Linked DNA regions of Schizosaccharomyces pombe. The protein of the gene in region 1 interacts with the protein of each later gene in a pairwise test. Each region holds a gene or a part of one and is shown in the gene's direction. Other genes may lie near its edges.

The links.
Region 2: the proteins of och1 (region 1) and rrn11 interact in a two-hybrid assay, tested with the Schizosaccharomyces pombe proteins (one large-scale study listed by BioGRID).

What each region holds. Positions count from the first base shown.
Region 1 is NC_003424.3:5,074,672-5,085,549, reverse strand, and holds och1 (Golgi alpha-1,6-mannosyltransferase Och1), read left to right. Parts: upstream 1-5,028; 5' UTR 5,029-5,173; coding exon 5,174-6,364; 3' UTR 6,365-7,261; downstream 7,262-10,878. Other genes in the region: RhoGEF for Rho1 Rgf2, read right to left, coding at 870-1,421, 1,466-1,887, 1,943-4,445; protein mcp3, read left to right, coding at 7,556-10,414. UniProt on the Schizosaccharomyces pombe protein: Mannosyltransferase involved in outer chain elongation of asparagine-linked oligosaccharides of the type Man(9)GlcNAc(2). May otherwise add the first alpha-1,6-mannose to the Man(8)GlcNAc(2) core oligosaccharide from the ER.
Region 2 is NC_003423.3:1,231,918-1,242,672, reverse strand, and holds rrn11 (RNA polymerase I transcription factor subunit Rrn11), read left to right. Parts: upstream 1-6,191; 5' UTR 6,192-6,305; coding exon 6,306-6,662; exon of another isoform or gene 6,663-6,776; coding exon 6,777-7,022; 3' UTR 7,023-7,168; downstream 7,169-10,755. Other genes in the region: GTPase-activating protein Gyp10, read left to right, coding at 1-849; nit1 (nitrilase superfamily protein), read right to left, coding at 1,439-1,575, 1,633-1,648, 1,709-2,143, 2,194-2,289, 2,342-2,488; GTP-binding protein Nog1, read left to right, coding at 3,497-3,517, 3,573-3,668, 3,758-3,852, 4,073-5,789; MBF transcription factor complex subunit Res1, read right to left, coding at 7,298-8,985, 9,113-9,338. UniProt on the Schizosaccharomyces pombe protein: Subunit of a multiprotein complex essential for the initiation of rDNA transcription by RNA polymerase I. Binding to the DNA template is dependent on the initial binding of other factors.

The sequences.
Region 1 (10,878 bases):
CTTAGCTAGGTGAGTGGGTTGTGGAAAAAAAGTTGAAGGGTTGTAATAAATATTTTCTCTAACACACAGTCACACACCTGAAAAATTGTAATAATTCCTGATTATTTTAGTACTTTAAATACACAGACTTTTACTGAAAAATCTATTTAAAAAAATTATAAAAACATTTATGTACACACTTTACTTTTAAGATTTTAGATGTCTTCTAAAAAATGATGTAGCAAGAAAAACCCTACTGAACGTGGCGATAAACTCCTGCACACTCTATCGAAGCCTGCGTTAATGCTGTTTAATACAGATAAGCAACTCGTTGCGAAAAAGTGTATTTTACGTGGTAATATTTGGTGAATGCTAAAACATAAAAAATGTTAAGGAGTTTGGAATGCATATAAAAGCATTTTTTATTATTGTAACACTGTTCATGTTATCTTCAATAGTATGAAAAGTTATCGATTACACATGAGTATTTTAAACAATCACAATAAAAGATAATGAATGAATATGCTGAATGCAGAGAGGTTGTTTATTAGTTGACTAAAGAAATGCATAATAAATCTATGGAAAAAGAATGATTCGTAACAAAAACAGCGTGCAATGTTGAGCAAATTGAAAAAGACACAATTCGTTTAATAAAACACACAATCGTCAATAGCATTATCTCAACCATAGTAAATATATGTACGTAGGAATTTTTAAAGTTATTCCTTAAAGAGATGAAGCAGGGTCATAGATTCTTGAAGCTTAGATTGTAATAGCATATATTATAATCAATTGATGTGGCATGCAAAAGATGTCCGGAGTAGTAAATAGTATTCCAAAATGCTCAAGGAGAAGTTCGCACAAATGTTGACAGTACTGTCATAAACGATCTAAAGTGCAGGACCTGCTGCATTTGCTGGAGGAAGTATTAAAGAATGAACTATAGGATTTTCTCCAGATGAAAATGGAATTGGCTCAGTGCTGTAAAGTATTTCACCTCCTTCACTAATTAACCCTCGGCCATCAGTTAAAAGTTTAATGTTTTGTCCCATTATGATTTGAACGAGTTCGGCTGTTTCGGCATTCCTAATTTCAATGAAGTCCGGCTCAAATGCCAGGATATATGGATAACACAAAGCGCAACCTTGAGGTTGGCCCTCCCAATTAATCATCCAGGATTGCCTAGATTTCCAGCCATTCGTATTAACAAAGAATGCAAAATCTGAATAACAGAGGAGAAATTCTCCTCTTAAGCGAAACATGGCAATCGGTCGAATATCTTCCCTCTTTTCTAAAAATCTAAATGAAGTATCAGCAGGATTTAACAAAGATTGGAATACGGCATTTTCCAAACTTATAATATCGAATCCCTTAAAACTTCCCACACAAAGCTTTGTCTTGAGAAAGTGAACGGACAAAGCTTCCATCGGCATTTGTACCTCCTAAAAAAATGTTAGTATAGAGAAAGAACGACGAGGTAACTCACAGTAAATATTTTCAAAGTTGCTTGATTGCCAAAAGGCTTTTTTAGAGACTGGGTCTTTTTGTTCTTCAAGGCACGATCAGCCTCATAAATCCTCAATGTAGTATTTAAAACGGTGGACTTTACCGCACAGACTAAAATTCTTTGCATACAAAAACCTGTTTTGACGAAACTAACATGACCTGTTACACGTCGCAAAGACTTTGAATTAATTTGTTCTACTGAATCAAGAGCGTCCAGAGGTAACTCGTACAAAATCTTCTCGGCTAAAAGCAATAGAACGTTATGTTCCTCAATTACATCTAGTTGAGAGATATTTGGTAATTGCAGCTTGAAAATGGGTTCAAGACAACTGCCATTATTACTTTTTCGAGAAGAGATATATAGTCCCTTGTAAGTTCCAAATAGTAATTTACGGCCCGCATCTAAAGAGCTGTTAACAAACATTTACTTCTTTAACATATTGTTTATTATACTTACCATAGGCAACGGCACATAATAACTTGTTGCCGGTAAACCAGGACTGACAACATATGCCTCGACTTTCAAATACCAAATGACGCTTTCGAATGATATCTTGCTGTTTCTCAATGTGTTGTTTCCATTGGTCTCTAGCAATCAGTGTATTGAGATAAAGACTTATAGAAAAACCACGGGCTCCAATAAATACTAACTGCAAACCGTATGCTTTAACAGGAGGTGGATTACTTTTTGTAATTGAAATTGGATTAGTTAACAAAGCAGAAGATGGTCGACGCGGAAGGCTACCTCTCGATGGCGAGTCTTCGATGTAAGAAATCGACAACAATTCTAAAGGTAATGGCCTGAGATGCAGTTTATGAACTCTTCTTTTCATTTGAATCTTTATCTTACACAACAAGAGAAAATTGTCCAGTAAAAACATGTGAATGTCGTTTTCAGTGTCCCCATTCGAATAACTACTGGCTTTTAGCTTGACGACGCCTTTGAAAATCAATAAGCGAGATGGATCAAACAATGTTAATTTTGCTCGATCCGCAGGGCTGCAGGAAAGCTGTTCGTTTAACTGTAACAACGAGAGTCTATTTTCAGTCTTCCCTGTTTCATAGTTAAGCTTAGTAAGAAATTCACGAATCATTTCGATTACACGAGGAATGTTTTCCGTATCAGGATTATCTTTATCAGTGTACTTAAGAACTCCACTTAATAGTAGCGGATACCTCGCAAGGCGAGTCGTAGGCTTGGTCAAATAACCATTAAGTTCTAGTTTTCTAGACTCTCGTAATCTTTCCACTTCATGAACATAATTCGCAAAATTCCTATTCGTACTTTTTTCACGCTCAAATTCAAACTTGGCAATAGCCTGATTGGCACCATATTTTATAAAAGGCTCAAATTTAGGAACATAATCTAAGAAAAGATCACCAATTGTGTTAACTACAGGTTGCAGAGTTTGAGTACGGTTTAGAGCATTTGACAAACGAGAATTGACAGCATGGATTTGCATGATATTATGAAAAACGCAACGTATAAATTGTTGTCGGTTGTTTTCTGGTATTACATTTGAGGTTGAAAGAGGCTTAATCCAAAAGTCACGTATATACTCTAGGTCTCTGACGAAGTCCCGTTCTGTGTAAATAACCTCAAAAATGATTTCCTGTCTTTTCCATTCACGGACATCGATCTGGTCTACAACTTGCTTAGGAACATTTTCCGACCATAAACGATGATCTTCCTCTTGTTTATCTGTAATCGAAGTTGATCCCCCACTTAATACAGGTTGGACCTTCAAATGGAGACGGGCCTGCTGCTCTAGTCGACGTGGGCAAGATATAGAATAGCAAAGGCGATTACGAGAACATGTAGAGGAGTAGCATTCCGTTAAAAGAGTAAACACTCCATGAGGATTGTATTCGGTTTCAGGAGCTTCAGGCTCCTTAGTAATTGCGCTTAGGGATGAGGTGATGAAAGCTAAAGAATTTACCTGTACAGACGAGGAGATGGTAGGTGTCGTAGAAGAATCAGATAAAACAGAGTCAAATGAATCAGACGTGTTCGCTCTTCTTTTTGTGTAGAGAAAGTTATTTTCGATCGACGATCCATTGGAATCCATCGAGGAGAGACCAGGAGGAGGAGAAATGATACGTCGGTACTGGTAAACTTCCTTGAGCGAGTCGCGAAGTCTATGAGAGTAAGTAACGTCATGAAACATCTTTTGCGAATCCAGGGCTCTTCCTAAAAGTAACGCCAAATTCCTGTCAGTCGTCCGAACTATATGCATCAATACATCGACAGCTTCCGATCCAAGAAAGGCATCTTTATAAAGAAGACCATCCTTCACACGGTCACCGATGTTAAGACGCTTTCGGAACTCAACGGCGACTTGAGAAAGAAAAGCCGGATGTATATAAGGGCGACGAGATGAGGTAGAATTGGAATGCGAAGGGGCGATGTTCGAAATCGCAGATGCAGACTTGGAGCCTGAGTGATGCTTAAGTAAGACGGCAGTTGATCCTTCAGGAAAAGATGGCATGGGTGCATTAACATGGACGCTATTTTTTCGAATGTTAGGATAAGAACTGCCATTAGATACATCAGAGACGGAAAACGACTGGCGAGTATGGGGTCTACCGAGCGATTGTATTTCTTTCCTACTACGTGCATGAGAAATGCCAAAATCATCTGTGGAGGAAGAACGGCGATAAAAATTATTTTTTTTATTAACTTCTAAGCCATCTCCAGGACCCGAATCTTTTCTGGATAGCGAAGAGGGAGAAAAGCTAAGGCTCGATGCAGGACGAAAATGATTGCCATCATTTTCATTAAGGGATGTGGTAGATGATAAAGCGGTAGGAGAATGTGTGATAGAGCCAGAACTCCTTCTTTGGAACAGTTTTTGGCTACTGCTAAATGATGAAAAAATACGAAATCCTTTAGCTGCTTTACCAAACGATTCATGAGACTCAGAGTTTATATTTCCATTCTGAGCTCCATTGCGAAGCATTTTCTTGTTTGTTGATTCTAATTTTACTACCCTCTCGAGGTATCGCAAGTTTTAGAAAAACGGCGCTATGCAAAGGGGCTTTTCTGATACCAATCGTCCGTACCGACACAACAACAGAAAGAGAAGAAAGATATTTTTCAAATTCAAGTAGTACCTTTTTTTTTAACGCTCCAATTACTTTCAACAATAAAAGGTTCTACAAGACAAGTCGTCTTATTTGAACATGGAAACTTCACCAAATTCCTCTTATTATACACGAGAAGCCGGAGTACGTATATTAATGCCAATTCTCCGGCTTTCCAATTATTCAAACAGCTTGGATACTCAAAAGAACGGATTTGAAGTGGATCGCTGCTTACACTTCTATATTATGGGTGGTGCTTTGGGTAACCTTTTTCTGTTATTGTGTACATACACCTAACACACACCGTTAACTACAGCCGACAATACTTGGACTGATATTACGCACGGTACCGCAATCAAGTGTGGCTGTTGCTATTATAGAGTAATATCACATTAAAGCCCTTCGATTTTCGGGTCGCTTGTGCGAAGTTAAAGTAAGAGCATCTGCGCAAACTCAGCCAGAGCGCCCACCTGTGTTTTGCTGCGATTCTATGAAAAACCGCAAAATCTGTATCCTAGCTGCATTAAGTACACATTAATGAGTCTTTGTTAACGAACTAAGTAATTAATTGATACATTGAGCATTAGCATATAACGAGTTCAGCATGTTGAGACTCCGATTGAGAAGTATTGTAATAGGAGCTGCGATAGCGGGATCCATACTGTTGTTATTCAATCATGGTAGCATAGAAGGAATGGAAGATTTGACAGAGATTTCGATGTTGGAGGATTACACTCCGGAAGCCGCTAATAAAGATTATGTTGGTCAACAGGAGGAGGAGGAACTTTTGTATGATCAACCGTCTTACATTGAAGAAGAAGAAGATCCAGATTTGGAAGCTTACTTGAGCGATTTGGAGAGGGAAGAGCTGGAACACAGCTTGGAAGAACTTGATGAAGAAAATAATTATAAACTTCATCTACGGTACTCCTTTTCACAGCTTCAAGATTTTGACGAAGAAAATGAAGCTGTACACATGATCGTTCCTAAAGATACTTATGAATTTGAGGTGCCTTATCACGCTGACATTCCCAAGTTAATATGGCAAACTTCCAAGGACCCTTTTGATAGAGAGGTTATGAAGTACACTCGGTTTTGGAGAATCAACCATCCCAGTTATTCTCATGCTGTTTTAGACGATGAGCAGTCTAAAGCATTGGTCATCAGTAGCTTTGGCGATTCATCAGTTTCCAAGATTTCACAAGCGTATGCAATGATGCCTCTGCCTGTTCTGAAGGCCGATTTCTTTCGGTATCTAGTGTTATTGGCAAAAGGTGGTATTTATAGCGACATTGATACGGCACCATTGAAGCATATAAACAATTGGATCCCTCGTGAATATCGTAAGCGTAATATTCGACTGATCGTTGGCATTGAAGCAGATCCCGACCGCCCTGATTGGAACGACTACTATGCCAGGCGTGTACAATTCTGTCAGTGGACCATAGCTGCTGCACCAGGCCATCCAATTCTTTGGGAACTTGTTCGTAGAATTACCGATGAAACTTGGAAGCTGCATGATTCAAAGAAGCTTTCGAAAAATGGCGAGTCAGTAATGGAGTGGACTGGTCCAGGTATTTGGACCGATGCCATTATGGATTATTTAAATTGGCAGTATGGCCCTTTCTCGGTTGAGAATATCACCAATTTAGAAGAACCTTATCTTGTTGGAGATGTTTTAATCCTACCCATAACTGCATTTAGTCCTGGTGTCGGTCACATGGGTAGCAAGTCTCCAAATGATCCGATGGCGTATGTTCAACATTTCTTTGCCGGTTCATGGAAAGATGATTGATCGTTTGAAATGTGGGTGGGTGGTCATTTCTTGGTATAATGTGCTTAAAGTGTTCGAACCGGGCAATTCGATAATACTAAATACACGCATTTGATCTGGTTTGGAAACTGTTACGGGTTGTGTTCGAGCAATTTTTGTAAATTATAGCTTGCGCAAACAAAAAAGTTTCTTTCGTGGTTGATTTAATCTTTCCCTCATAATTCTACATCTCTTTACGATTAATTTTGCATGTATTTTGTACGTTAGCCAATCAAGTTGGCAATATTGGTGACATTATTGAATTATATGAAGCCAATGCTTATGTCCTGATGATCAACTTTCTTTTTTTTTTTTTTTTCAGCGCTTTCATCAACGCGTTTTATAGCTCAGCACTATAATATTTTCCCTTGTAAACTGTTTTGAATTCTAAAGCTGTTTGTTTCTTTCAATAATTTTATAAAACTTTTGCGCTGATCACAATCAGTCTTTTTCAATTTTTTTCTCTTTTGTGATGGTATATTGACCCCAAAGCGTTTCTGTATACTTAGGTGAATTATCAAAGTAGTACAGAGATTATGCCTAAGATTTGAAGATGAATGATAAACCTGTTTCGGCTTTGTAATTACTTTATGTCTTTAGACTTGCATGAATGCTTCTTGGGATTAAAGGACCTCATATTTCTTCATTAAATTTTTGAGGTTTGTCTCTCTTTCTTTGCAACTACATTTTTTTTCAGAAGGTGACTTTATTTTGCTAGTAGTATTAGCGCTGTATTCTATAATATTTGTTTACTTTGGACCGACAAAGTTCATCACTTTACAGCTTCAACTATACATTATTTTTATTATAAATAAATAGACTGAAAAGTGTTTCAATAATTGAATAAACTTACTATTATCTTTTAAAGCTATGCTAACGCCCTTGCTTTGAATACCTTAGAACATTAAACACCCATATAAGAAGTTATTGTAGTGTTTATTTACCTCCATTTCCCACTGTCACAAACACGATTGTTGAGTGCATTTACAACCTGAAGGTTTAATGCTTTTCCTAATTGATGTTAAAAGTATTTCTTTTTTCCGTTATTTCTTTTCTATAAGTGCAGGATTTACATCTTCGAATTAGAAGCATCGTTGATAAATCTTACAATTGGTAGATTGCTTGCTCAAAATTATATTTTAGAAAAGCCTAACTTATTTGATTAAATACTTAATGACTAAAGAAACTCACGAAAATCATTTGCGTACGCATAACGGGATATTTCCTGTTTCTTTGCTCTCAACTCAAGCGCGTCAACTTTTGAATTTCAAGCTAAAGAGTCCTTCCTATTATCTTTTAAACAGTTTTAAACTCTTAGTTAAATCGGAAGGGAATAATCAATCAACCACTGCAGATGTAACTTTAACAAAATCACCAAATGCTTATCATGCTTCCAGCGCTAGAGAAGAGAAAGATTTACAAGTTTCTCGGCGGGATACTTGCTTTTATTGCAGTAGAAAAATTATCAAATGCATATGCAACGAAGAACACGTTGGGATTGAATCAGTTCAGCTTAAACTTATACTTCTATTGTGCCAAAATCTACCAAATGTTACTACTAATGCAAAAAAATATTTCAGTTCACTGGCTGATGGCCATAATTTCACTTTGACGCTTTATAAATTTTCTTTAGATAACCAAACATTTTCTCAATTACTTTCTCGATTTAAATCTTTTGCTACTTTGACTGAACTACTTCAAGTGCACAATGTTATGCTTCAAGTAAACTTTTCCTTTCAAGCAAGGCAACTAAACACAGAAATTCAACTACGACGATGCCATTCGTTAGAAAAAACATGGAAATTCTTATTTGGCGATTATGAATTACCTGATGTTCTAAAAGATATGGAGTCATCGAATAGTGATTGGAGTGACACATCTCTGAAACGAATTGCCTATTTATGTTCTCTTGTTGAGGAGCTCAAACTTCATTCTTCTATTATGAACGACAAGTATGTGTGCCTTGTGTCCAAGCATAACAACGCATTGGAAGACAAGTTTAACAGTGAAGCCGCGCGTCAGTTGTTGCAGAAATCTCTAAGTATAGTAGCGTCAAATTTGAAACAAGCCGAAAATAAAACTATCAGTTATGAAGAAAAGCTTTCTATAGCTCAAAATTCTATTAATGAAATTCAAACCCAAAACAGGGATTTAAAACTTGAAACCGAGAAGTTACAGGATCAAATCAAAGCGTTGCTAGAAAGAAATCAGTCATTGCAAGAAGCTCTAGAAACTGTTAAAAATGATGAAAAAAATCTGAGAGAAATGAACGCCAATTATGAAACCGAGATGAAAGAAGCGCGTCAAAAGTTAAACAACAAGGAGGCATTAATTAGTCATTATGATGATGATTTTCGAGCAAAAGAATTAAAAATTTCAAGACTTTCCGAAAGTCTTAGAGAAAAAGCAGGCTTATTGGAGTTTCAGTCTTCTGTTAGTGAACAAAGGGATCTACTTTATCAAGAACAAATACAGTCGTCAATAAAGGATATGGAGAATGTATTTCGAAAAAATGAATATCTTATGGAAGAACTTAATGAATTAAAGAACAATCTTGAAGTGGAATCAAGTAAGGTTTTGAGACTTGATGAAGAAATGAAATGCCTAAAGGATGAGCAACTCTCTCAATTTGACACGGTCTTTAGTTTGACTGATGAACGGGATGGATTACAGAAGGATTTAAAAAACACTAAGGGAAATCTTGACGATGAAATCGGGCGCTCTGCATTTTTAAAAAGCCAAATCAGGGATCAAGAGCTAACTATTGAGAAGCTCCATGACAGTTTGGAGACTTTAAGTCAAACTAACAATAGTTTACAGTGTGAGATTTCTGAAAAGAATGCAGAGTTAAATTCAGTAAACTCCAAACTTTCTGAAGGTAGAGCACACCTGGAAACCGCGAATAAGGAGAATGAGATATTGAAGCAGCAATTGGAGTTAAGTGAATCCAAATTAGCCAGTTTGTTAAACTCTTATCAATCATTTATTAATAAAAAAGAGCACCTCTATTCTTTTTTACAGCTTGTCGAGCCATCGTTCGCTAAAAGTGATTCATCTAATGCTACCGAATCCCAAATTTCCGAAAGTGTACGAAAAGGAATTTCAATATTTAATCTTTTGTTCATTGTTTACAAAAACGTATGCTCTCAAGCTGGAATTAATCCATCTACAAAGCTTGAAGATCTTGATGAACATACACTTTCTGATGAGCTGACTTATATAACAAAAAAGTTTGTACAAAAGGATCAAGAATACCAAACGAAGGAAATCGAGTTAAGGAATTATAAAATTACTCTTCAGTCGTTACTTGAAGATAAGCTTATCGGTGTAAATACTGATTGCAGATCACCTTCTTGTTCAGACTTTGAGCAACTAGGGCAAGAAAGCGAAAATAATACTTCTATCTCAGGAAGGGTTAGTAAATTAGTCAAAAGCTTTAATGATTCATCTTCTATTTCCAACAACACAAAAATCTCAATCACTAAGTCCCCATCTGGTGAGAAAGTTTCCGTATTTAAAGAGATGTCAGACATAGCTCTGCGCGATATGGATAAAAACAGAAAATTATTGGGAGAAAATGTTGACGTGAGAAATATTGTTGTCCAAAAGGATGAGTCATTGAACATTGACTTACAGAATAATGCTGTAGTACCTGAACTGCACTTCAAGGAGGGGATGGTATACGATTCATTGGAAAATGCGTATACTTATTTGGCCGAATCCAAACGCATGTTAGCAAATGAACTTCAGATGAAGCAAGAAGATCTTGAAAAAGTTATTTTAGAACTTGAAGCTTACAAGGAAATCTTCTTAGAAGAAAAACAAATTCCTTGTGAGGAGTTTATGCCAGGTAAGAACGCAAAATCCGAAAAGTCACTGCGGTCAGTTTTTCAAGAGCAGTTGATGAGAGAAACAAAGCGAGTTCGAAAATTGGAAAAAGTAAACTCTGAATTGAAATTGCATTGCTTTGAACTTTCTGAACGATTGAGGGAGCGCGAGCATACACTACAGCAAACATTTGGAGACAAATAGTATGTTCGCAAGTAGTAACAGATCAAAGGTACTAGCCTCATTGAGATTACCAATAAATAATCTATGAATACGGTCTTTCGTTTTAAATGCTTGAAGGCCGCCTGTTAGCCTCAAATGATAACTTGACCGGTCTTAAAATTTCGAGGTTTATGGGGGAATTTCAATAATAAATAATAACAAAATCTAGCATTTTTGTTAGGTGATTACATGAAAGCGTTTTGATCTTAAATCATTTCTTCAAGCTCCTGAAAGGCTAAATTTTTCATGTAACGGATTAAACAGACTAAATTCAGATTAATAACTTAAGCAACGGAAGAGTATGTTATAAAACTGCACGATTACATATTCCTCGGTCTTTAGTATTTTTGCACGATCGGCCTTGTAATCAGATACGGAACTACCTTTTCGATGAGGGTTTTTAGTAAAAAGAGCTATTACCAGTGTTACTGTCAATAGTCGGCTTT
Region 2 (10,755 bases), on another chromosome or scaffold:
CTACTTCGTAAACACCGTTCTCAATTGACCAAGCTGCTCAGTGTAGTCTTTAAGCATTATCCGGAACTATGCTACTATCAAGGTCTTCATGATATTGCCCAGATCTTGCTTCTTACCCTTCCTTTCTCTCATGCTCTCCCTTTAATGGAGCATCTAGTATTTTACCGTCTTCGGGACTTTATGCTTCCTACCCTTGATGGCACGGTGAAACAATTGCAGCTAATTTTAGCAGTTATCAAGGCTCGCGATCCCACTCTTTATGAGTATTTAATAAAGGCAGATATCCAGTGTTATTTTGCTCTTTCATGGTTAATCACTTGGTTTGCACACGATGTTTCAGACATTTCGGTGGTATGCAGGTTATTTGACTTCTTCATCTCTTCTCATCCTCTTACCGTCGTGTACACGTGTGCTCAGGTTGTGCTTGATAACCGTACTTCCATTATTGAGCTTTTATGGGATAATTCTGGTGCTGATTTATTGCATAGCTATTTGTGCAAACTTCCGGCGTCTATTAACGTAAATCAACTAATTAAAAATACCTGTGCAACTATATCAGCAGTACCCTTTTCTTCTCTACCCTTGGACCGATACCAAATTTCTCCGTACAGTTGTCTTCGTAATACTGGCGATCCTTGGGAATATATGTCTCGATCCAATGGATTGCTTTTATTTCGACTTCAACTCGCTGAATTGCAGGAAGAAAAACACAAGCCTGGCACCAAGGTTCCTGCTGTTTTTCTTCAAGAAAACATATTCAATGGTTGCAACATGCTTGCGGCCATTACTGTAATAGGCATCGGTATTGTCGCATCTCAACTTATTCCAAAGTCCACATCCAATTCTTAGTATTTTAATCGTTTAATATTACTAATTCATGCAAGATCCTAAATTGAATAGGGTCCTTTAATTTATATTCCAAATACTACTATAATACGGTTATTCTTTCCACGCATGGGAAAGAATGTTCGGGGGGTTTCCGCAGGGACTATATTTTGTTTTTTATTTTAACTTTTTTTCTAATCACAAAACAACACTTTTGAATCAAAGTGATTCTGAAGGTGCAGTCATTAATGATTTTTCATGCTTTATTGTAAGAAGTCTATTTCTTTTTATTTTTTTTAATTTTTCTTCTTTTTGTCTGTGTATTGCACTTTTCCTATATGATGCCTAATCGTTATACATATATAAATTATGCATTAATTAATAAAATAAGTACTTACTTTTTGCATTCCACTTCGATTCTATTATGTTTACTATATCGAGCGCTCAGTAATTTACGGTTTTATGGAATTATTTAATTGTCGCAAATTTATTTTCATAGTATTCAGGCTTTAATCTTGCAAATCCGTAAGTAATAATGAATACTTCGTAAACAAGCCGAAAAAAAATTTTCTCTTTAATTTAAATTGAAATCACCTCAGTTTGTATAACAGTGCTAAATGGTCGGGTATAAATCGTTTCTACGTAATAGTGGAATATAAGTTCGTACATGGTCAACAAGATTCAAATCAAGGTCAGCAAAAATGAGGCCATTCGGAGAAGAGATATCACTGTATTGAGCAATAACAGTACCTAGATGCATTAGAATTTCAAGTTATTTTACCTAATAAAATTGTCAAAATGACATACCCCAAGGGTCAACAATCTAAAAATTTTAATTAGCAAGAATTCTTAAACAGACAGGTGAAACTTGAAGACGACATACCATGGAATGACCATAACTAGCACGCTTCTCGTTATGCTTTCCACCTTGCGCAGGAGCTATAACATAACACTGAGAGTCCAAAGCGCGAGCTCTCAACAGCACTTCCCAATGAGCAGCTCCGGTCTTTTCAGTAAAAGCACTAGGGTATGTGATAATGTGAGCACCCATGTTTCTAAGCTTTATAGCTTGTTCTGGGAAGCGGATGTCAAAACAAATTGCAGAACCAACTTTGCCTAGAGGGGTTTTACAAGGTGGGAGAATAGCTTCACCACGAAGTGTAGTATTCGACTCTTTTAAAGTTGGTCCATTTTTAATTTCAACATCAAAAAGATGAGCTTTGCTGTAACGGCTAATGATTTCACCATGAAGAGGCTCGATAAACAGGCTACTGTTTAGTAGCTTGTTTTTAACCTTAGATGGTTCGTGCACGCATATCTATAAAGACAAGTTTGTTACTATCAAAGTAGTTAAACATTAGTACGTACGTTTACGAAGATTGAATGTTTGGTAGCTGACTCTCGAACGTCCCGAATAAACTTGCTACAGTCAGGATGATTTGTAAGTTCAATAGCCTCATCACTCTGTATGTCAGAGATATTAGTAAAGTTGGTAAAGTATGCAAAAGTGTCGTACATTATGAGCTATAAAGTCAGAAGCCTCAGGGAAGAATATGCATTTCGCACCTTTGGCGGCTGCTTGACTTATCAATTCTTTACATATGGCTAAGTTTTTTAGAATAGAACCACTTGAGTTAAGCTGAGCTACTGCTGCCAATGTCATGATGGTACAAAAATGGATGAATGGGACCCTGCGTTTACAAGGTTTAGTTTGTCGTTGAGTAAAGCTGGCATTGCAATACAAGATGTATTATACTGTCAAAATGATAGGATTTTTGTTAAATAGAGCGAAAGTCGCAAATTTGTGAAAAGTAATGTCTAAAGGAAATTTAAAAAAATGATAAATTATGCTTTATGTAACTATACGATATGTTGATTTAGGCATCAATATGAAGGATGGGCATACAGTATGTTCAATTGAACTATTTCGCTCTCCTAAGAAAGATTCTTTAAGTCATTAACTAAATACTAGAACCAAAGAAAATAGATGCTAACTTTTTCAAATAAAATGCGAACAAAATTATTAAATACATGGAGCCTATCAACAAGTAGGGTATCTTCGAAATTTCCTTTAAAGCTAATAGAATCAAGAAAATGAAAGTGCTATAACATAAGTTCTGCTAATCTACATACATCTACTTCAGTCAACATTCTGTTGTTCAAATCAATCTATGCATTTTATTCTTCGTATTTGCAGTGTAGGAATGTAAATCGTTTTGTTCACAACATGATTTTAAGAAAGTGAAAAAAGTTTAAGTAGCATTCTAATAAATACTGATTTCTTGGATTTTGTTTTATGAAATTTTGCTATCACTTTTCATCCATTCGGACACCAGATCAAACTACCCAATATTCTTGAAAAGAAAATTAAGATTATAATAACGGGATTTTTGAAGTATGAAATGTAGATTAAAACATTGAATAAAATTTGTCACAAACCGTAGATATTCGATTCATAATGCCTGCCTATAAACTTGCTTTGTTTACCTTCTATTGCGTTTCTTTGCGTTATACGATTTATCAATGTCAAACAAAAATTCGTTAACAGAAGGTGACTGTTCTACCTATACGATTCGAACCTTCGTCCATTATCAATGCTAGCTGGATAACTACTGCGTGAACGGTGAAAAATTGTCTTTGACATTTGCCATCTACCAAACTTTTCTACTCCATGGCAACGGCAGTGTTCAAGGTATTTTAATTTCTAAAATTGAAAGTTTGTATCATTCTTATTAACATTGATGCAGAATATTACTCCAATTCCGGATGTGAACACGTTCTTGGACGTGGTCCTTTCTCGGACTCAAAGAAAAACACCTACCGTTATTCGATCAGGGTTTAAGGTATGTAAACATTTTCAGTTCAATTATCGTATTAGAGTGGTTGCATTGGAATTCTAGATTTGCGAATCATCTACTAACGAAAATATTAGATCTCTCGTATTAGAGGTTTTTATGGACGAAAAGTAAAATTTACTCAAGATACAATTACTGAAAAGCTGGATTCGATTTTACAGGAATTCCCTAAGTAAGTATTTGCCAAAGAAATGGATGCCTGCAGTCACTGTTAAAGAATGAGAAATGATGCTTTAACGTGTTTGGTGTGAATTCTTATGTGCACAGTATTCTTAACACTGTGTTACTCCTATTGATTTTTTAAGTGTTTAATTGTGTTGGAATTCTCAGCAGCATCGTGAATCTTTCCTTATTTCCATATCACTATCTATGGTTCACTAACAATTTCTTAGACTTAACGATATTCATCCTTTTCATGCTGACCTTTTGAACATTCTTTACGATCGCGATCACCTTAAAATCGCTCTTTCACAGCTCTCGACAGCCAAACATTTAGTAGAAAATGTCGCTCGTGATTATATCCGTTTGCTCAAGTATGGTGATAGCTTATACCGCTGCAAACAGCTCAAGCGTGCCGCTTTGGGACGCATGGCAACGATCATTAAAAGGCAAAAGTCATCCCTCGAATTTCTTGAGCAAGTCAGACAGCACTTGTCTCGTTTGCCAGCAATTGATCCAAATACACGAACCTTATTGGTTTGCGGCTATCCCAACGTTGGTAAATCCTCATTCATGAACAAGGTTACTCGTGCTCAAGTTGATGTTCAGCCTTATGCTTTTACCACTAAATCTCTATTTGTCGGTCATTTTGATTATAAATATTTGAGATGGCAAGTGATTGATACTCCTGGTATTCTGGACCACCCTTTAGAGCAAATGAACACCATTGAAATGCAATCTATTACTGCAATGGCTCATCTTCGATCTGCGGTTTTATATTTCATGGATCTCTCGGAAATGTGCGGTTACAGTGTTGCTGCACAGGTTAAATTATATCATAGCATTAAACCCCTTTTTGCCAACAAGGTTACTATTTTGGTTCTCAACAAGATTGACGCCATGAGGCCTGAGGATTTGGATCAAAAAAATCAAGAGCTTCTTCAAACCATCATTGACGACGGTAATGTTAAGGTGGTTCAAACTAGCTGTGTTCAAGATATCGGTGTTATGGATGTACGTACTACCGCTTGTGAAGCCCTTTTGGCTGCTCGTGTCGAACAAAAACTTAAGGGCTCAAGGGTTAACAATGTTCTTAATCGCATTCATCTTGCTGAGCCTGCTGCTCGTGATGAGGTTGCACGACCAGCTTGCATTCCTGATTCTGTTAAAACTCGCCGTGCATATGATGCAAATGATCCAAATCGCCGTATACTTGCTCGTGATATTGAAGCTGCAAACGGAGGTGCTGGTGTCTATAATGTTGAATTGCGTGACAAGTATATTCTTCAAGACCCTAGCTGGAAATATGACCGTATGCCTGAATTATTGGACGGTAAGAATGTGGCTGATTTCGTTGATCCTGAAATTGAAGCGAAGTTATTAGCCTTGGACGAAGAAGAAGAACGTCTTGAGCGTGAAGGATATTATGATTCTGACCAAGAAATTGAGGATGCCGATGAGGAAGAGGTTCTTGAAAAAGCAAGTAGAATTCGTGAGAAAAACAAGCTGACTATGTTGGCTGCTCGCCAGAAGAAAATTAAAAATCGTCCTGTACTTCCCCGTACCGCTGGCATTCGTACTTTAGACGAACTACAATCTTCCTTACAATCTGCTGGGCTTCCCTCAGATTCTATTGAAGAGCGGGCACGCTCCCGTGCACGTACTGCAGCAGCAAACGAAATGGCTGATGGTTCAGGTGTTGACTTGTTAATGAATGAAGGTGAAGAAATTCGCTCTAAATCTATTGCCCCACGTTCACAAAGCAACCGTCGCGAATCTGGTGTTCACGCAGAAGGTGCCAGATCTTACGCTGATCGCCTGGCTCGTGTCAAACAGATACACCGTAACCGCATGGCCAGGGCTTCTGAAAGTGATCGACATGTTATTGCTGCCAAGCCTAAACATTTGCTTAGCGGTAAACGTGGTAACGGTAAAACTCAAAGAAGGTAGAATAATGGTTTTGGACTTGGGGTTCTTTTTTTATATAAAACTTTAATATTTGGTTGGTTATTTGGGTTTGGATAATATGGGTGGACTTGCAAGACTTTCTACCTACATCCCTTTTTGTTTCTTCACATAAATTACTTTTGTTGGAGGATGTTGTCCATTAGGAAAGAAATTTAATATATTTCAAAGCTTTTGCTTAATGTACTTTCAGTTGACAATTGAAGCAGTTAATTATGTAGCCGTGCATAACAACACCTGTAGTTTTTGGCTGTAAATTTTATGCTGAGTAAATAGATGAAAGTAAAAAGAATGAGTAATTAAAATCTAAAGTTAATCAATAGCTAAGGTTGATCGTTGTTGAACAGAGAGGCAACTGTCGTGCTCAAGTGCTAACTGCTTTAAGATGCCAAAAACCATACCCTTGCAATTAGCAAAATAATGCTAGATTAAAAGGTTATAGTTAGATCAACTATGCTTTGTTTAAATAAGTAATACTTATAGCTTGATTCTGTTATAATCATGTTCTCTCCTTGTACCGTTAAAGAAAAACGTTCAACTTTGCGAAGTGTCGCTCCCAACCCGGAATCTTCTGTTATACCTCCAATTCCTTTACCATCAAGAAGGTATAAAACAAGACATATTGATGCACTTTGTTCGTTGATGCACCTTTGCTTATTGCGCAAAGATTACCCAAGGGCATCTAGGGCTTTTTCATTACTGTTGAGATCTAAGAGTGTTGACATTTCCAAATTATGGAACATTGGACTTGAAATTTTGAACAAAGTTAATCCAGAAGCTTCATCAGAGTATATGGAGCGACTAATAGCTCGATATCCTGCGCGTCCATCCATTAACAACTCTTATCCGAATCGTAATGTAAGTGTATACTGGTACAAAACGTCTATACTTTCATCTTTTCGTGTATTGAATTTTTTGTCCCTTCTTATTTGAAATCAATCATATGTCGCAATTCTATACTAACATTTACAGGCAGAACATTTTTTTCCAGCATATATCATGCTACTTATTCAGCGCCAAGAATACAATAAAGCTATGAAGTTGCTTGATGAGTATTTGCTGTTACCACCCTACAATCAGAATCCTGCATTGCATGAGTATTCCGGAATGTTGTGTTTTGAACTTGCCAAGGAGGAAGCTTCAGAATCTGAGCGAACTAAATGGATTGAAAAGGCGAAATACAACTTTTCAAACGCAGGAATTGACGTCGAATTGTAGATTTAACATTCCCATGGCATTTCAAAAAGCACATTAGTATATTTAATATTTTAGATTGACCATCAGAAAAATTATGTATATTAGCAAATAATAAGATGGGAAGATACATTTAAATTTAAATTTAAAACTAATCATTAGATAGCCAACGACTGTATAAAAAGATTGTTAAATATCTATAAGTTCAAGTTGGTATTTATATAAAAAACATAAAGAATGCAAAAAATAAGATAACGAAAGAAAAAATTATTTTGAATAATAATTTAAAACCAAAAAAATTAAGATCCACTTTGATCTGTATTAATCGTATTATACATTCCCATAGAAAGCAAGTTCAAAATTTCGTTAATTTTCTGTTTCCGTTGCGCTTGCAATGAGCATAATTGCTCAACGAGCTTTTCACGAGCAGCTTCGTTTTCAGCTGTAAAAAGATCAACTTCGTGTTTTGAGCTTAAAGACGAACGGTTCGTTTTAGTATCATGACCAACAAGGTTTTTGGTCTCCGAGATATCAGCTAACTCATCAGTACTCCATATTTGAGAAAAGTAAGTTACGTATTTTTTTAATTGATGAAGCTGAACTGTTTCAAGGTAATATCTAGCAGTTTTCAATGTATGCAGAAATTTTTTACACTGGTGAATCAAATCCTCCCGCTGATTTACCAAGTAGTTCTCGTCATTATTGGTACGTTCATTCCATAATCTTTGGCAAGTTTCAGTTTCCCGAACTGTTTGCTCCAACGCCTCCATTGCCAAATTATAGGTTAGTTGTTTTTCAGCAAGAGATGCTTCATGGCATTTTGAAAGTTCGCTCAGCTGAGTGAAGACATTGGGAAGGGTTTGGTGAGTAAGTTTATTAGAAAAGTAAGAAATAGGTTTTTTGGACGATAAGTGGTCATCAAGTGATTGCGGATATTTTAAGTTATCTATCAAATTATCCTCGATTTTGGAATTTAAGGGGGAATCATCATTTTCGGGAAAAGACATGTCTTTCGAAGACAAAAAATCTGTTGGGTATTGGCCCTGATTATTTGGTATGGAGGATGATGCATAAAAGGATAATAATAATCTCGCGCATTTCTTTGCACCATTTCTAGCGCAGATCAAAAGAGCGGTATCCCCATGATCATCCTGAAGGTTTATAATTTGGGCAGCGACATCAACGGATTGTGTTGCAGTTAAATTTTGCAATAAGATATCCATATAATAACGAGCGGCTTCCATCTTTGATTTAGAAGAAGCTAATAATGCGATGTGGTGAAAGACGGTTTGGCCAAAAGAGTCGTTCATGCAGATAGCAGATTGAAGCAACTCCGAAACTACCTCAAAAGTCTGTAAATCATAGTTCATGGTAAACATTACACAGCGCATCAAAGATGTTTGTTGAAGGTAATTGACAGCAACTACGTTGGCGCCTGCTTGCAATAGTGCATGCATCATTTCCAAATTTCCCATTGCAGCAGCCCAATGAAGTGCTGTATGACCATCCTCATCAATGCCAGCATTAACATCCCAATCTGATGGCCGATCATATACGAAATCAGGAGGTTGTGTAGTATTTGGTAATAAAAAGTAATCCAAGAGAGACTGCGCATAATTGTTTGAAGAAAACGGAGAAGCTTTGATATCGTGCAAAGATCCCGTAAAGGAATCAGAAGGCATATCGGGAGAGCGCGTGAAATCAGATTGAAGAGACAAAGCATCATGGATTCCTGACATTCTAGAAGTAGATGTCATATTATTGGAAGATGTGTAAGGGTAGAGTAAAGAATGCGAAGGCCGGGAAAATGACTTTTTTACTGGACTGTTTCGTCGATATGCTTCTGTAGGCTTACGATTGCTCTGAGGAGTGAACGTAGACATTGGCATGAACGCAGAGCCAGAGTATTCAATCAGAGGTTGTATTAAATCAAAAACATTATATTCATGAGCAAGTTCAACAGCTCTTTCAGAGGGTACCCAAGTTCCTGAATGAATAGTTAGTAACAGGCATCCAAAAAAGTATAAATTGATAAATAAAAACAACAGAGACAAAAATTTTATGTTATTTAAGTAGTTTTAAACCTATTGATATAGTAAGAAGTTAACACAAACCTTGATATTTTCCACAACCACCTTGAATTTTTTCATGAAGTCCCTTTTGAGCGAATTTCTCCAGAATCCTTGTCCTCCTGGGTTTATCGAGCTCTGCAATTTTAAGGATTTGCGTGGCATTAAGCCAGTTATCATGACAACGTTTCATTAAAGGAAAGCCATTGATCGTATACTCAAATACTTCCACTCCTGAATAGGTGATTTTATGTATTTGGTCGTTATACATAACGGCACTATTGGCAAGCAATTTAAAAAAAAGGAAGGAAGGAAGAGCTTCAAAACTTGATGCAATAACAACGTTTCGTCTCTCTAAATGTTTGTAATAATTTAATGTCTCAACTCCACAGCGCCAGCTATTAATATCATATAAAAAAAAAAACGAAGCAAATGAGAAAGAAGAAGCAAATTGAAATTTCCTCTACAAAATATCGATAGTTTTTGAAAACCGAGTATTTATAGCAGATAAAGTCGGAAATACATATGATACTAACTGCATGCACTAAAGAAAGGATATATTCTCTCAGCGGCGTTTGCCTCAAAGATTTTTTCAATTAAAAAGTATTTAACTCTATGTTTTGAGTTAAAAACAGATGTTTTTAAAGACCTCTGCTATCCCTAAAAATCCACGTATCTTACCAGCTGATGTAAGATACTCAACTACCAAGAACTTTAATATGTAAGGACAGAAACCTTTCGAAACTTTCCAGATCACGATTTGTATAATTTAAATCAAAAAGCTGTAGATTTGGGTTTATCGACTACGGAGCCGATTTAGTCCGGATTTTTTCAACAGCGAGATCTCAGAAAAATCGAAAAACACTGCTTCTTACTCACCAAAAAAATCCCTAAAATCACAGTAAAGTGCTTCAGGAAATGCGGATCCTTTTTTTGATAAAAAGGAAATTTGCTTGCTTTTTTAAGATCTCACACAAACAGAACTAAATCTTTCACCCTCTCTTATGGTGAGTTAGTGGTAAACGATAAATACTTGAAGGTTACATATTAGTAACTCAATTATTGTACCATTCGATTCCACTATGTTAAACCAATTGTATTACATAAATGATAAAGAATTTCATTGTTCAACTCGAGTTTTTCTAATAAACCATTTTTATTTATAGACTGCAGTGACTACTTATTCAAATTCACATTGAATATGAGAATAAAAACATTCCAAAATTTCTTAACATTTTCTTGTCATAATAAAAAGTTAATCACCAGGCTTCTGTTTAAAGGTTTTACCATTATTTAATATTTGGTATTTCAAACACAGAGCATAAATACCCGTCGCAGAATTGAAAAATAAAATCCTAAATTTTTTATAATTGCCCATTATATGCGTCTTTCGAACGTAAATAATCATCACTAAAAACCAAATCCTACAAATTTTTACAAAAATAATACACAAATACCATTTTGTGAAACATTAATTATCCCTCAACTCAATATTTTGGTAGCTTCATTCCTAACTGTCATCTTGGAAAGATTCGAATAACACAAAAGAAGAAACAAACACAAAAAAAACAGATTCACGGAACTAATCAAAAGATAGATGGATATGTGCAAAACAAAAGCTTAACAAGTAAACCAATTTCCTTCGTCTATTATAGAGAAATTTTTGAATACCGCTAAATGCAATCGCT